Daphnia pulex: one gene and its partner. The protein of the gene in region 1 interacts with the protein of each later gene in a pairwise test. Links are inferred from orthologs where the notes say so. Each region holds a gene or a part of one and is shown in the gene's direction. Other genes may lie near its edges.

Region 1 (8,052 bases):
AAAAGATTCGTTTTCTCATTTGCAGTTATAATGTATCACAAATGGAATGAATATTAACACAACCATAACAGATAAATCTGGAAGTCTAAATATATCATGATGCATGAAAAACGAAGGTGAATGTAAAGGAAGGCTGCATTCGGTACTTTACCAACTTCCTGAAGTAGTGATGAAGTGGATTTCTTCTTCACGCTTACTCCACTAAAGGGGAACATAATAACAATCAACCTATAAATGTGGATTCAGTACATCGGAGCCATTCAATTACCTTAAGTATAGCATTGGCCGCGTTCATTATTGCCGCTTTTGTCGTCATCGGCTCTACGACCATATATAGTTCATAAGTAGGAGTAACCTGATAAGATATTGAAGATAAATCATATTATTAGTAAGTAAATCTAAAAAAGGTGAGCCATTTTATTTTGAAACAACTTACCAAGCCAAAAAGTATCTCTTTTTCAGCAGTGTGACACATCATTTTCAATGGGCGTGATGGAGAATGCATGCGACCGTGAACATGTCGGTAGAGATCCATTAAATAGAGCTGCCCTTGTTCATGTTGATAAGGCGGACCATTATTAGAATAAGTGTACTGAGCAGACAATCTTGACTTGTACACAAAATGTCGGATATCCGAACAGCCCACTTGACTAAGGATAGGGCAGATCGAATGTAAAGCCAGAGTGATCGATTCGAGAATGTTATTGTGGCGTCGTAGTCTCTGGACAAAGGAACCAAAATATCGATTAGATTAAGCAGCCAAGAAACTGAAAAAAAAAAAAAAAAAAAAAAAAAAAAATTTACATCGACGATATTCTTTTTGGCATCGGAAAGACTGAAAAAAGAATCACGATCGGTAGTAAAAAAGAGCAGGCACGCTTGACAATCTTCACTCAGGTATGACGCATGAACGTACAAAAACGCTCTAATTCGAGAAAATAAAAAATTAACAAATAAAAATGTCTGATTTTGCAGTTTTGTAATGGATAAGGGCCAGACCTCGGATCGTAATGTGGAAGGCATATGGGGGTCCAACCTTCAGCCGTTTTAAATGTTTCGGATGAGTTTACTAGATTGATGATTAGATGTACATCAGAGGGATGAAGCAGGTGCTTTTTGTTAACACGCACCAAACTGATCAACTGATTGTTACCAATCAACACAGTGAAGACTAAGCCCTGTAAAAACGGAAAGAAAATGTTTAGTCACCCGAGACGTGAGCATTTGAATTCTAACTGTAAAGACACCTTAATTTTGCTACATTGTTGATGGATAGTTTGCGTGACCGCATCTCGGTCACAAGAAGGCATCGGTAGGCATTTGACTGCACCAAGTAGAACGGAAAAATCGGTGTCCATGTAGTTGACCAAATTATCCATGAGTCGTTCGGAACCAGCTAAAAAAACAAATAATTATATAAAGGAAAGATTTTAACTCGATTACTAAGAAGTCAAGGCATACCTAAAAGCCTCCGAAGATCGTAATTTCGCCTCTGCTCAAAGATTTTTTCAAGGTGTGCTCGAGTAATAACGCTAGAGATTTGATTGAAGATATACCTAAAAAGGCAGCAATTTAGATTTGAAACTAACTAAAAAATTTATAATTGCATTACTCTAATTGCAGCTGTAACTGAAGTACACTATCTCGTAATTTCGAAACAGCTACCAAAATAAGAGGTGTTTTGTGTAGAAAAACAAATTTGGTATCACCAGCCAAAATCATATCCATGGAGTCTTCCCCATCTTCCACAAATGAAACAAGTGCCTGCATCACTCCAAATAAGGTAACAAGCTGCTCCTCATTTCCATGTCTGTAATTTAAAAAGGAAAACAATTAATTATAAAAAATGACAAATAGCTAATTCAAACCCAACCTTGTGTAGATGGGTTTTCCTGCTTCACTCAAGACAAAGAAATGTTTCTTTTGATTTTTCCACAGCAAGGAGTCTGATCCACTCTCTTCATCACCAGCAGCAGCTGGCAGGGAATTTTCTTCCAAGATTGATGAAGCCTGATTCATTAATGCTTTTTAACAAATCTTGAGGGGAGATTATTACTCAGTAAATCTCACATTGGTTGTACGTGATATGGAATCCTCATTTTGATTGCTGAAAGACTCTCGTTCTAAGTAGACCCTGGGCCGTACAAATTGTTGGTCTTGGTTATTGGAGACAAGATCTGATTCAAAAATCAAATCAGGTTGAGCTTCAACGGCAATTTCTAATAATCCGACATCACCGTTCTGAAAACCATCAGTACAACCGGGGTCTGCAGGAGGTTGTATGTTTAAGCTCACATCATTGGAATCACTATTTGTTCTGGTACCGCTTAAATTATTTAGACTTTCATATGGATCACTGCTGTCAAGAATTCCATGACTGGAGCTAGTAGCTGCATCAAAATTGTTAACCGAATTCGAAACAATAATTTCGCAATCTACTACTTCTGAAGCCATGTTTACTATCAAAATTATGCTTCTTACATCACCTGGCGGCGTGTTTTGAAGGGGCGTGTACAGAGGGCGGCGTTTAATGTCAGATGTCACAATAAAATGGGTTGAAGTTCCGATAATTGAAAAACGTCACAAATGCAGAGAAAATTAATTTTACAAAGGTAATGGTGTGCTTTTTATATACTGATATCGAAAAGACAACAATTAATTAATCGAGTTCGTTGAATGACCACCAGATGGCTCTACAAGTCAATCAAAACATTATAATACGGACCGGATGCAGTAAATCGTGGATTTAGAAGATGCGGTAAAATGATAAAGAAAAAGAAGGGAAATGTCTAAAACAACGATTTCGAAATTCGTCGGGGCTCAATCCGAATTAAGGTAAATTTTAAAAAATGCGAGAACCAAATGTTAATTTTTTTACAAGGAATTTTATCAATTTTAGCACATAGTATTTTTGCGTTTCTCTTAGCTTTTTTCCCGCATTTTAGTCCCTTTCACTTTTTTCACAAAATTATCTCCTTATTTGGGCTGATCTCTGAACGGGCGCGGTTTGTGTTGGTGTTAGCACCCGATTTCGTCCACAGGTCTCTACAATCTGTTGAAGTTCTTATAGTTATTGAGTTTATTTTATCGTTGTGTTCATTTCAAATGCCGCCTGGGTAAGCTATTGATAAGATAAATACTATTACTGATATTAATAAGCTCTTGAAGTGGCCACACATGAGATAACACATTTAGTTATCAATTGCCGTTCTTCACCCCATAAATTGCTGGACATTTCGGTTGTGTTCACTGAAGAAACTCCATTTTTCACCATGGCAAAAAGACCTAACATTCTTGTTCTTAAACCCTTTGAAAATAGTAACCTTTACCTTAGAAGAATGGAGGATAAGATGAAACCAAGTGCAAGTGCAAGTGAAGTAAATGAACTTGAGGGTTTGCTTGAAGACCTTACATCTAATGATGTTCCGAAGGGAATTCAAAATCAACCACTTCCTCAGATACCTAGCTTGAATTCAGTTCAAACTTACATTTTAAAAAATACTTATGCTAACAGCCCTCCTAAACTTCCTTCTAGAAACCTTAAACCTAGTAATATTGATAGGTATTGTGGTTTAACAGTTAGTATAGTAGATTTCACACATTCTGAATTTCAAGAAACTAATAATGGTTTGAACTTTAAAGCGATATGTACAAGAACACCCAATGTGTGAGGTGTGATTATGGTTTTGAGCCTCATGAAAAGATTGTCAATACAAATGGAGAGCTGTGGCATCCCCAGTGCTTTGTGTAAGTACTCACACCAACATTTTTACTTGAAATTGAATTCTAATTTCTTAATCTTTCACAGGTGCGCTCAATGCTTTCGCTCCTTTCCAGAAGGAATTTTTTACGAGTTTGAGGGTCGCAAGTATTGTGAGCATGATTTTCAGATGCTCTTTGCTCCTTGTTGCGGTCGCTGTGGTAAGCGTTAAATCGATTGACTAATTCATAGATTTTTAAATAATAACGCATTTTTTGTATTCTTAGGTGAATTTATCATCGGTCGTGTTATTAAAGCAATGAATGCCAATTGGCATCCCAAGTGCTTCCTCTGCGAGATGTGTGACAAAGAACTAGCCGACCAGGGGTTCATTCGTCACCAGAATAAGGCACTCTGCCACGATTGTAACGCTCGAGCAAAAGCCGCCAGCTTGGGAAAACATGTCTGCCATAAGTGCCAGTAAGTGCTGTGTATAGTTGAAAATTTCATCGGAATCTAAGGATCATTATTTTTATTTAGCTCTATGATTGATGATCGTCCGCTACGTTTCCGTGGCGAAGTCTATCATCCTTATCATTTCAACTGTTCGTCTTGCGGAATCGAACTCAACGCGGACGCACGTGAAGTTAAAAGCAGACCAGGTTTCACCGCTAATGAGATGGTATTTCACATTATTTTTTAACATTTAATATCTTTGTGACAATTGTTTAAAATTTACACAGAACGAGTTGTATTGCTTGAGATGCCACGACAAAATGGGTATTCCAATTTGTGGTGCTTGCCGTCGTCCAATTGAAGAGCGTGTCGTTACGGCGTTAGGAAAGCATTTTCATGTTGAGGTATAAAACTTAATGAAATCATCACAGGGATTAAATTTACCTATTACAATGGATTGATTTGTAGCATTTCGTATGCGCCAAATGCGAGAAACCGTTCTTGGGTAATCGCCATTATGAGAAGAAGGGTCTTGCCTATTGCGAAACCCATTATCATCAGCTTTTCGGCAATCTTTGCTTCGTTTGCAATCAAGTTATTGGAGGAGATGGTAAAGCATTTTATACATGTTCTTCTTTTAAGACATTAACACCTTGATTGGCTTTTCTTTTCAGTGTTTACCGCATTGAACAAAGCCTGGTGTGTTCACCATTTCGCTTGTTCGGTTTGTGACACAAAAATGTCGCAGAAAACCAAGTTCTACGAATTCGACTTGAAACCGACTTGTAAAAAATGTTTCGATAAATTTCCGGCTGAACTTCGGAAGCGTTTGAAGAAAGCTTACGAGACTAGCCCGAGGAAAAGCTCTGCAGCGAATTAGTATGGGAAAAATAAGTAACGAATCAACATAATTGGATTCGTTTTTTTTTCCGGCTCTTGTTTACCTTTTAATATTCTTACTCCTAGTAAATTACTAAATTGATAAATATGCTGAATTTTAAAATTCTTTTTCCTTCACAAGGTGCCTTGCTTTTACTGTATCAAAGATAAGACCACAAACTTTTTAATTACAAGTTAAGCGATTAATGACTTTACGTCTGCCGATTAGAGTAAGTACAAGAATTATTCATATTTAAATTCTACAGGATTTTCGTGTTTTTTTACTTCACTTCTCGCTTATTTCTGTAAGCTACAGTCACACTTTTAAAATGTTTCCCTCATTGAAATCACTTTCAAGTTCACAAAAAACAACAAAATATCTTAACAACTGCTGACGTGTCTTCCGAATAATGATTTTTAAACATGTAATAAACTAATAATCTCACAGTAGCGTTTACAATTTTATCAATGCGTTCACAGGTCATGAATGGGAAAAATCTGTTGTTCAAGATGCTAAGACAGACATTTACCTAAATGATAAGATCCACAATCATGATAGGTCACAAAAGAGAAGGCGCTCAAAATAGTCATGTAATAACTAAATTTCGATATTGATTAAATTTTAAGTTAATGCCGCTGCCGACGCAACGGAGATAAAGTTAAATTGAAAATGACATGAAAACTCATAAGAAGATATTACTTTTGAAATATGCACTGATGATATGAGATCAGTTAACCCGGCTCTTTATAATTTATTAATTCAAGTTTGTCTTGTTAGAAAATAGAGAAATAATCAAATTCGTTGTCGAGAATTGATCTTTGGAGAATTTGGACAAAAATGTAAAAATCTCCATTCTGTTGTAGGGTGAGCTAATAGCTAATAGCCTTTGGCGATTTTGGTGACCTTTTTTTTTGGAAATCATTTGTGAACAAAGTACGACGACTTATGAACGCACCCCGTAAAAAGGTGTAGGCCGTGCCGTCTGCTATTTTTGCCACGTCTTGTGAGAAAGTGACAGATGTCTGTGTTCGATTGTGTTCGTTCGTTCTATGTCACGTTTCGTTCTCCCGCTCCCGTATTGTTCACTTTGTATCAGTAGTTATAAACTGCAGTTAGTAATTAAGCTCAGCTCTTAGAATTTCCGCGATCTCTTAAAATTGTATATAACGGTTTGTGTTACAGAGCTCTTTTTCTAAGGTCGAATTTGTTTGTCTTTTCGTTTCAGTGACGCACAATGTAAAATCCTTTTGCTTATTATAGTCTTCCTTGTTATTGCTTTAGCCTGTCCTTGCTAAGGTGCTGTGTGAACATTTTGATACCCCATAGATTTATATCAGCATAATAGTCATGTACCTGACAACTGTGATTATGAATCTCTCAATATTCATCATGCCTTCTGTACTTGTAGTATGTTTTTCATAATATTTCTCAGTTTGAACTTGTAATTGATATATTTTTAATTTACAGGCTGCAAATTTGAAGGCTTAGCCATTATGAATTCTTTCCCTAATGTGAAATTCAAATCATCTAACAATCTTAGAAAAAGAATTGTAGGAAAGAAAATGGGTCCCCAGACAGAGGACAACAATTGTGAAGTCATTGAAATGATTGAACAAATTCCTACATCTGATACTAACAAAGATGATGATTGGGAAAATAGTGAAGAAGGGGAATGTGAAGTCATGCTGAAGACATCATCACCAAAGGCTATCAATGATGATGTTGTTGAAGAAATTGAAGAAGGCTTCTGGCTACTTGCCTTTCAAGTATTCTTTCCATTTCTCATTGCTGGATTAGGGATGGTGGGAGCTGGGATTGTGCTTGATATCGTTCAGGTAAGAAAAGGAACATTTGATATCATTTTTCATTTTTTATGAACAGATTTTATTACAAAAACATGTATTTTATTTCCAGCATTGGAATGTCTTCCAAGTGGTAACTGAGCTTTTCATTTTGGTGCCAGCTTTATTGGGGCTCAAAGGCAATCTTGAAATGACATTGGCTTCTAGGCTGTCTACTCTAGCGAATCTTGGCCTAATGGATTCGCCAGATCAGCGCTGGAGTTTAATCAAAAGCAATTTAGCATTGATACAGGTATGTACAGTTTGTCTAAATCCTAATTCCAGGAAGACCTTTGAAGATTTGTCCCAAACCTCTTCTAGTGTCAGGCAATTGTCGTGGGCTTTCTCGCATCAATAGCTGCGGTTATCATGGGTTGGATTCCCGAAGGCACATTTGACATTTATCATGCATTGCTCATTAGCGCAAGCGCTGTACTTACTGCCTCCTTTGCAAGTTTTGTTCTCGGTACAGCAATATTGAGATAAACAATTTTTGCAATTGCGATACTTAAGTTTTCCTTTCCAAATTCATTTAGGTATTATTATGGTGGTTGTGATAATTATTTCTCATCGTTACAAAATTAATCCGGACAGTAAGAAATTATATTCATTTATTATTTATTTTCTTATTGAAAAAAAACCTATTTCTTCTCAGATGTAGCGACCCCAATTGCAGCCTCGCTAGGAGATTTGACCACTTTAGGGCTTCTTGCAGCAATTTCTACTTGGCTCTTCAATGCAATCAGTAATTTTTCTGTGAATATAGTTAATGGTGTGACTGAATGAATTAACGGAGCTCTGATGTTTTGTTTAGCAAACGTTGAAGCTGGTCTTTGGTGGATATCTCCTTGCATTCTATGTGCCTTCATCGCCTTGCTGCCATGGTTGGTTTGTGTTGCCTCTTCCAACTCATTAACTCGCGAAGTTTTGTCTTCCGGGTGGTCTCCCGTACTTGCCGCCATGACAATCAGCAGGTGAGAGTTACAAATCATACGCCTTATGTTCATCAAATATAGCTTCTGTTTTATGTTACCAGTATGGGCGGAATAATATTGGACTGTACAGTTAAGGCTTACAATGGAATAGCCGTGTTTCAACCTGTTATTAACGGGGTCGGTGGTAATTTGGTTGCCGTTCAAGCCAGCAAGTTATCAACTTGGCTTCATAAACGTGGA
Region 2 (7,912 bases), on another chromosome or scaffold:
CTAATGGCAAAGAAACTGGGCAATTGGGCACTCACCAAAATGTCGAGTCGCCTTTCCTTTTTGTGGGACTGGAACTGAGTCATCGTCACAAGTGGGGCTATGGAGGCTTGAGCATGAGAGTTCCACGGAAAAATTTGGCTGTAAGGAGAAGGGAAAAAAAACAGTTAAAACAGAAAAAAATCTAACGACGAACTCAACGAACAATACTAATGAAAAACACTGACTCAAGCAACTCATTGACAAAAATAAAAAATAATTCATAAAAAAACGCATTACATTTCTTTCATTCAAATGTTGTAGAAACTGTCAGAGTGGCCCAAGTATAAAATGAGGAATGTTCAAACAACAAGACAAGCAAGCTTGAAAACTTCGCTAAAACCAGTTTTAGCTAAGCATTGTTTTTCATTGCTGCTTGAGCTCCATAATTAAAACATCTTTATGTGTATACCCCCTCCTCAAGAGCTTACATTTTCAAACCATGCTACAGTTGAATAGAGCACAATGTGTCAGTTGATACTGTAATATAAAGTTAGAAGATGGATGTAATGTAGCAATCAACAATCAATGACTAATTTTTGGTCAGATGTGATGTAACTGATTTATGTCTTAAAAAACACAAACCTCCTGGCAGGTTTTATAAAAAGGAATATGAAAAACTAGAATATACTAGAAGATCGATTGGCACAGCAATGTAAATAAGGAAAGAAGCTGGTCCCAGTTGAGAGTATTACACTGAAACGAGTTACCCAGAAAAAGATGGCTAGAAAACGAAACACTTGGTGCAGTGGTAAAGTGATTCGAACTATATAGTGATACGCAAATCGACGATAATTATCTCAGCAGGAACGATCTGGGAACGAGACATTGAATCACTTTGTTGTGTAAGTCTTTGCTGGTCTTTCGGTTTGGGCGACAGTTAAAAATCAATTAGTACCAGTTAACACGCATTATTAGATTATTGCAAAAGTATACTCACATAGGACACCATAACTATAAGGGCTGACTCACTTTAAGCAAATTCGAAAATTGATTAATTGAATTCCAGACCAGACACAATGTTTGCGCGCACGGTTTTAACGGCAGCCATATTGTTTTTTTATTCTTTTGTTTAGATCATGTAGTGTTGCCAATTTTCTTAATCTAAACAGCTGATTTTTTTAATTAAGAAGAGGAGCGAAATCACTCAATCAGCGAATTTTATTTCTTCCTCTTTGAATTGTACTAAGTTTTGGTTATACAAATGAGGTGTTAAAAAATTAACACGACGACCTTGTCGCGTTTGATGAATCATGGTGATAAAAAAAGGTGAAGATGGTCTTATCCGCGTGTTGGCTCCTAGCTTCCTCCATAAAGGGGTACAGTGTTCGCTTTCATTCGAGCCAGGGTTGTGCAGACTAAAGATCATTACGTCGGTACCCAGTCATCTTTGAACCTGGAAACGCATCAGACAATTCTCAGATGAATGGGGAGACATGGAAACACATCATACAATCTCTCCGATTTCAATCACTTCCTTAGTCACCGTATAACCATCCTGTGGCGCCGTCAGTGGGTGTGAAAGCAACTAAAGATGCTCCCCCGGGGATTTGAACTCCCATCACAAGGTGCCCCGATCACCAAGCGACTCCTCATCCTATTCACCCACCCGTCCACTATAATTGTACACAAAGAAAAGGAAATCTTTTCAATTTTAGTAGATCAATTTGATCAATTTTTATCATGATCAACTTCAATTTTAGTTAAATGATCGCCAGACGTGGAATTTGGTGAAAAGTAAAAAGAGTAGCGAATTTTATTAAAAATCACGGTTCAACCCGTTCAACATTGTAGGCGACTTCGCGTGTATTCTGAACAGGGAATAAATTTGTTAATCGATTTTAAATAATGAATTAAACATTTTATTATAAAATAAATTGTATATTTTTTTAAAAGGCAAGCAAAGACTGAAATTCACGTCTGTAGTTCTGTACAATACAGTCATCAGTCAATATTTCAAGTCAAACATTAAATGGTGGGAAAGATGCACACAATCCATAGAGACAAGCTTGGCAGCGAATGGGATCGTGATGAACCGCCAGAGATTTTTCTCTGGGTTGACTGTGTCGAATACGAACAATATTGTAGATATCTTGTGCATTTCTTTGCTCACCGTAATAGGACGTGGAAACGTGGCTAGCCAGAAACCTAATGGCATTTTCTATTTCTTCAGGGTACCAAAGTGGAGTCAGAAATTCAGACTAAATAAAAACAAACGAAATTAATTGACCGAAAAACAGAGGAGGAAACTAATTATTACCTCATCGAACGAGTCTGGCTGGTTGCAGATGCTACATTTTTGACCAATAATTTGAACAACGCTTCACACAGGACCTGGTCGCCTTGGCGACGGATCGGAACCAAAATGAGACCTACCCCTTCATCGACGTCCATCCTCTAGTGCACTATAACGACAATTTTAATCAAGATTACAAAACGCCCAGTTCAAAAGATTAGAAGAAAATGGAATTACCTTGCACTGGAACCGAACTTTGGCAGAGAAGGAAGTTGAATGCCACGGCCACTCGACGGATAGCGGAGGAAGTTCTGTGGGTTCCAATGTCCACAGATGTCCGTGTGCGGCTACAAACGGGTGAAAGAACCAGCAAAATGCGCTCTGTCAAAATGTCTCCAATCCACTGTAACATTTTCAAAATGCCAATAAGAAAATGGAAGCGAAGTAGATAATACGTCGAAGATTTATACTAAGTAAATTCATACTAGTTACTAGGGCATCGCATTCCTTCCCGGAAGAGGAACTGGCGGCGTGGACGGCGGAGGCAACGACCATTTGATGAGACGGTGATTAGCTTGAACTTGGTTGACTTGATGATGGGAAGATTTGTCTTTGCTGCTGGAATAACACGGAAATTGAATGGGTAGGGAACCAGCTCTACACTGTCCAGTGGAAGAAAAATTCCGATGACTTGATGAGGGAACACACCGCGACACTGACACTGGACTTTCGCTTCCTTTCGCATGGGCTCCATAAGAATTGCTTTTAAAAAAAGTTATCGCATCAAGAAAAACTAAAAAAGTAGAAAAAAAAAACTTTATGTTGCCTAATAAATTTTAAAATGTTATTTTGTTTCAGATAGCTCAGTTGGAATAAACGTTTCGTCGCCAGAAGAAGATAACACACGTTGTCTGGTCAAACGGTAAAATGTGCAACTAATTACATTGATAATATTAACGTCCGTGTATCCCGTCGGTAGCTCAGTTGGCAGAGCGGTGGACTGTAGATTCGTTTCATTCGTGAAAAAACAAGTTATCCATAGGTCGCTGGTTCAATTCCGGCCCGACGGAATCTATTTTGATGTCAATTCCTTTTAACGCAGATCAAAAGAAACGCAACAACGCGATTTTTTTATTGCGCTTCAATTCAGAATTATTCCGCTGAAATAAAAAATTATTAATTGTTGTTATTCGGTACTATCGGAATATGAAACTTACTTCGTTATTTGTAATAAAGAGAAAGGGAGGAGGCAGGAAAAATAGTCTTTGAGGGGAATGGGTGGCCACCAGCAGCAGGTAAATAGGACAACTGTAGTCAGAGTCAGAGAGTAGCAGCATTTACAAAAATTGAAGTAGGTCATAGAAGAGAATCATTATGATAGAATCTGAAACAGTTCAACGTGCGCATGGACTTACAAGTTTAACTATGCATATTGCATTTGTACTATATAAATAGCTTAGAATCCTTAAATAGACTAAAGTCAAAACGATACTTATTTTTTTTTTTTTTTGTCTTGCCAATAACGGTTCTTTTTTTTTCTTTAGATCGGTTGATTCATTGGTGGGAAGTTTCCATATTCCGCATTTTACCATTTCCGTCTGCTAGCAAAAACACTGGTCTGTCTTTTATCTCCTTTTTTGGTTGTTGTTTGGGGCTTTGGGCGTGTGAATGCACTAGATTGCTCGGATCGAAAAAGTTGACAAACCTTGCAATATTGTCTACATTCTTAAAACTTTGTAGTTATTATTATCATCTCTAGCCAAAGTTAATAATATTCAAAATGTCTAAAGTGAGAAAAATCATAGATGAAGCCAAAGAATCCAAGAATCCTGAGCTGGATTTGGTGGACAAGGGTATTTCTTCTTTTGACGAAATACCGAGTCTCCGTAAGTCGTTGTTTTCTTTATTATAGTGATACTTGACTAAACCTTATTTTATAGTTACCATGCTCAACTTGACCCGGATTACACTGACGCACAACAGAATATCAGTTGTAACCCCAGCTTTGGCCAACTTGACAAATCTTGAAATCCTGAACTTGTTTAATAATCAAGTTGAAGAACTCCCAACATCTTTGTCTTCCATGCCAAAACTTCGGATTTTAAACTTAGGGTAATATTTCAACCCGTTTGTTTATTGAAGATGTTGTTTTGAAATAAAGACATTGATTTATAGAATGAACAAGCTGAGCGCTCTTCCTCGAGGGTTTGGAGCCTTTCCTGTACTAGAGGTTTTAGATTTAACTTACAACAACTTGAATGAAAGTAGTTTACCTGGCAACTTCTTTATGATTGGTATTTTTTAAATTCATTTTGGAAAATCAAACTTTGTATTTCTAATTTATTGCTTGTTTTTTAAAATAGAAACACTCAGAGCCCTGTACTTGGGTGATAATGATTTTGAACGAATCCCACCCGAGATTGGCCATCTGAAAAATCTTCAAATTGTTAGTATTGCAAAGCAAAGTAAATAATCTCTTGTAATTAATTTACACATTTTTATAATTCTGCAGCTTGTTCTTCGAGATAATGATTTAGTTGAGCTCCCTAAAGAAATTGGTGAATTGGCCAGGCTGAGAGAATTGCATATTCAAGGCAATCGGTTGTCAGTTTTGCCCCCTGAATTAGGTTTGAAATTTAATACTGTAAAAAGAACGACAACAACAAAAGAATCCCCAGTTAACTTTATATTTGTTTATAGGTAACTTGGATCTCACCAGTAACAAATCCGTGATTAGAATGGAAAACAATCCATGGGTGGCACCAATTGCAGATCAGTTGCAAGTTGGTCTATCTCACGTAATTGATTATCTTCGATCAGAAACGTATAAATTGTGAGTACTAGTAATTAAACATTCAATTTTAAGTGGTAGTTTTGAGAAAACGATTTTCGGCTTGTACTATGTTGCTGGTTGTTACCCAGCTGTTGATCTTGGTTCAAAATCCATCTGTGATGCAACATTGAACGTTTTACTATTGGGGTTTTTAGTGTTCATGGTCGGCACGCTGTGACTCAAGCCCCGAATCGCGTTTCAGAAAAGCGAGACCGAAGCGTTTCAATCGATTAAGAAACGAAGAACTTCTTGTTGAAGGCATTATTTTATACTACACTTCTTATCTCTAACTGCCTGCACTAGAGATTTTTAAAACATGCAAAAAAAAGCTTGCTTTCATTTTTTTATATTTTAGTCAATCGCTGCCCATTCTGATAATTTGAGAGATATGAAATAGTGGCTAGAGCGATTTATAATGCTCGTTTATATTTGTTTGTCATTCGTCCTCGTGAATCACAAAGAACTTTAGTGCCGCACAAACCAAACTGACTTGCCGTTTGAATGCTTGTGGTGCTGAACGTAACCCTAAAATTACTGTTTTTATTCTGTATTAATTTCATTCTTTTTTTCAGTGTCTACGGACGTCATATTTCGGCCAATGCTCCCGCCCCTGCCCGACTCACAGAGAGAACAAAGAAGAGCTCCAAACCTAAACCATAATTCATGGAATTTTTTCAGTAGTATAGCTTCTATGGCTCTGTTTCATCAATTTTCTGATTTTCTTGTTCAAACCGAACATTGATTTTCAGAACAGATAATCCAAATTAATCATTACATTCTTCGCCTTGTTATCAAATGTGCCAACTGCTGCCTTCCGTTCTTTGAATGGACATTTCTTCTAATCATGTAATATTTTTTCTTTACGAACTAACGTTGTCTTCCAACTTTTTTCGCGTTTTCTCGTCCGTTGTTCTTCTACTAGCGCAGATTTATTGAACATGCATACATTGGGTGTTGAATTTAACGAAGTAGTAGGAGAAATAAATAAAGCAATCAACCAGCCCATTTTTAACAACACAAAATGTATTCGTTCTTCTTTATGTACAGGCATGTCCATAAAACATTTATTTTTCTTTACAATGTATAAGTGGGGCGCGACCGTAACTTCAAACGAGCACAACTCTGTTATCTTTTCCTTTTCCTACAAGGTACAAAAAGGAAACACGGTACATGACACACACATAATATGTCCGACGTTTAAAAAAAATTTCCAAAAGTGACAAAAAAAAACATAATTTTTGAAGATAGTAAACGTGGTGTTGGCAGCCAATTGAAAGCACATCCCAAAACATTTATAGTGCGTGATACGGTCCAATACAAATAGGATTTCTATTATTCGTGACTTTATATCGCGCATCCTGAAACCAAAAGGCAATTTCGAATCCCCATGAGAGTCGATGAGATTAGCTCATTAACTGCTAAAAGAGGAACGGATGAGAAAGAGAGGGACAACAAGTACACTTGCGCAAAAGATGTTCAAGATCCGTTTGGAGGTGGGAGAGGGGGGCGACGATCTGCGAACTCGCGGCGGTATTCTCGATCTTTATTCCCACGCCAATCCGCATAGCCACTACCTTGCATCCCACGAGCATGATTGGGCGGAGGCTCAAAGTCACCGTAATGAGAACCGCTATGAGAACCACCAGCAGGTCCGTGTCCGTAACCCCTTTTATCTATAGCTGGCGGTCGGTAATCACGTTCTCTGTGATCCCGCGGATCTCGATCCGAACGAGCAAATCCGGAAGCTCCTACTCCAGCGGCATGCTGACGACCATATCCGTCTCGCCTATGATAAACAGTTAATAATCAGAATATGCCATACTATTCAATCCAATTTCAATGGTAACAAACCTTTCACTGGCGTATCTTTCGTCACGAGGAACTCCCATCCAACGCTCCCGATCCCTATCCCGATCTCTGTCGACATGTGGATTGTAATTTGTGGCTCCCAGAGGTGGTGGCGGTGGACGACTGTAAGCACCACCAGCAGGAAGTCGATCCCTCTCTCGATCTCGCCCTCTTTCTCTATCACGATCTCGACTGTCAACAATCATGATAACATATCAATTTCAGAGCCAAAGAAAGATATCGATTTTGCGAAGCTTACCGGTCTCGATCACGCTCACATTCGGATGGGAATTGTTCTCTCCTCTCCGTTGGAGAAGGAGTTGGCCCTCTACCTCGATCACGTTCGTAGTCATTGGCTTTGTCAACCCAGCTATCGACTATAGTCGCACCATTATATGGTCTTTTGTTTGGTAAATGTTGCTGCTGAGCCTCTTCCGGCTCATGACGACGTTTAGTTGGAATGTTGTAACTCGAGGAACGATTCTATTTATTAAAAAAAAACAATCACAAGATTAATGGAAACGTTCTTCTTAACAAATAATAAGCAAACTACCTCTTCTTTGACTTTAGGCGTCTTTTCCTTGTTTTTGTCCTTACTCCGCCCTTCTTTGTCTTTAATCTTGGCAGAACTTTTCTCGCCATCTTCGTTTCCTTTACCCTGCTTCTTGATGGCATTACGATACAGCTTAAACAATTTTTTGGCGTCGAATTCAGTGAATTTGGATACAAAGTACCAAAGGTTGCTACGGAAAAAACGAAACGAAAATTATTAATTTAAATCCAACACCCCATGTCAACTCTGCTTCATTTACTTGCGCCAAACTCTGTTACGTTCGGGGTCAGGTATGGCGGCCAGGCACTTGTCAATGTGTTCGCCAATGTGTAAAAGGCACTGCTGAGTATGCTGAATCTGTTCCGTTTCAGACATACTCTGGGGAGGGTTGTCCAGCGCCTTCAAA

What was found.
Region 2: the proteins of LIM and senescent cell antigen-like-containing domain protein 1 (region 1) and ras suppressor protein 1-like interact in a two-hybrid assay, tested with the Caenorhabditis elegans proteins (2 studies listed by BioGRID). The link is inferred for Daphnia pulex from reciprocal best matches to the Caenorhabditis elegans genes unc-97 and rsu-1.

What each region holds. Positions count from the first base shown.
Region 1 is NC_060026.1:14,672,633-14,680,684, reverse strand, and holds LIM and senescent cell antigen-like-containing domain protein 1, read left to right. Parts: upstream 1-3,131; 5' UTR 3,132-3,272; coding exon 3,273-3,562; intron 3,563-3,642; coding exon 3,643-3,747; intron 3,748-3,808; coding exon 3,809-3,921; intron 3,922-3,987; coding exon 3,988-4,180; intron 4,181-4,240; coding exon 4,241-4,382; intron 4,383-4,443; coding exon 4,444-4,560; intron 4,561-4,624; coding exon 4,625-4,766; intron 4,767-4,830; coding exon 4,831-5,036; 3' UTR 5,037-5,482; downstream 5,483-8,052. Other genes in the region: protein SAND-like, read right to left, coding at 148-201, 269-355, 437-721, 805-925, 1,000-1,178, 1,248-1,396, 1,462-1,556, 1,613-1,810 and 2 more; solute carrier family 41 member 1-like, read left to right, coding at 6,530-6,871, 6,951-7,130, 7,199-7,343, 7,414-7,470, 7,533-7,622, 7,692-7,851, 7,914-8,052. UniProt on the Caenorhabditis elegans protein: Component of an integrin containing attachment complex, which is required for muscle development and maintenance. Probably function in adherens junction.
Region 2 is NC_060024.1:9,497,645-9,505,556, reverse strand, and holds ras suppressor protein 1-like, read left to right. Parts: upstream 1-3,885; 5' UTR 3,886-4,052; coding exon 4,053-4,158; intron 4,159-4,212; coding exon 4,213-4,384; intron 4,385-4,447; coding exon 4,448-4,566; intron 4,567-4,635; coding exon 4,636-4,718; intron 4,719-4,784; coding exon 4,785-4,899; intron 4,900-4,972; coding exon 4,973-5,105; intron 5,106-5,260; coding exon of another isoform or gene 5,261-5,339; exon of another isoform or gene 5,340-5,363; intron 5,364-5,677; coding exon 5,678-5,765; 3' UTR 5,766-6,102; downstream 6,103-7,912. Other genes in the region: chromodomain-helicase-DNA-binding protein 1-like, read right to left, coding at 6,582-6,891, 6,957-7,145, 7,213-7,436, 7,507-7,696, 7,766-7,912.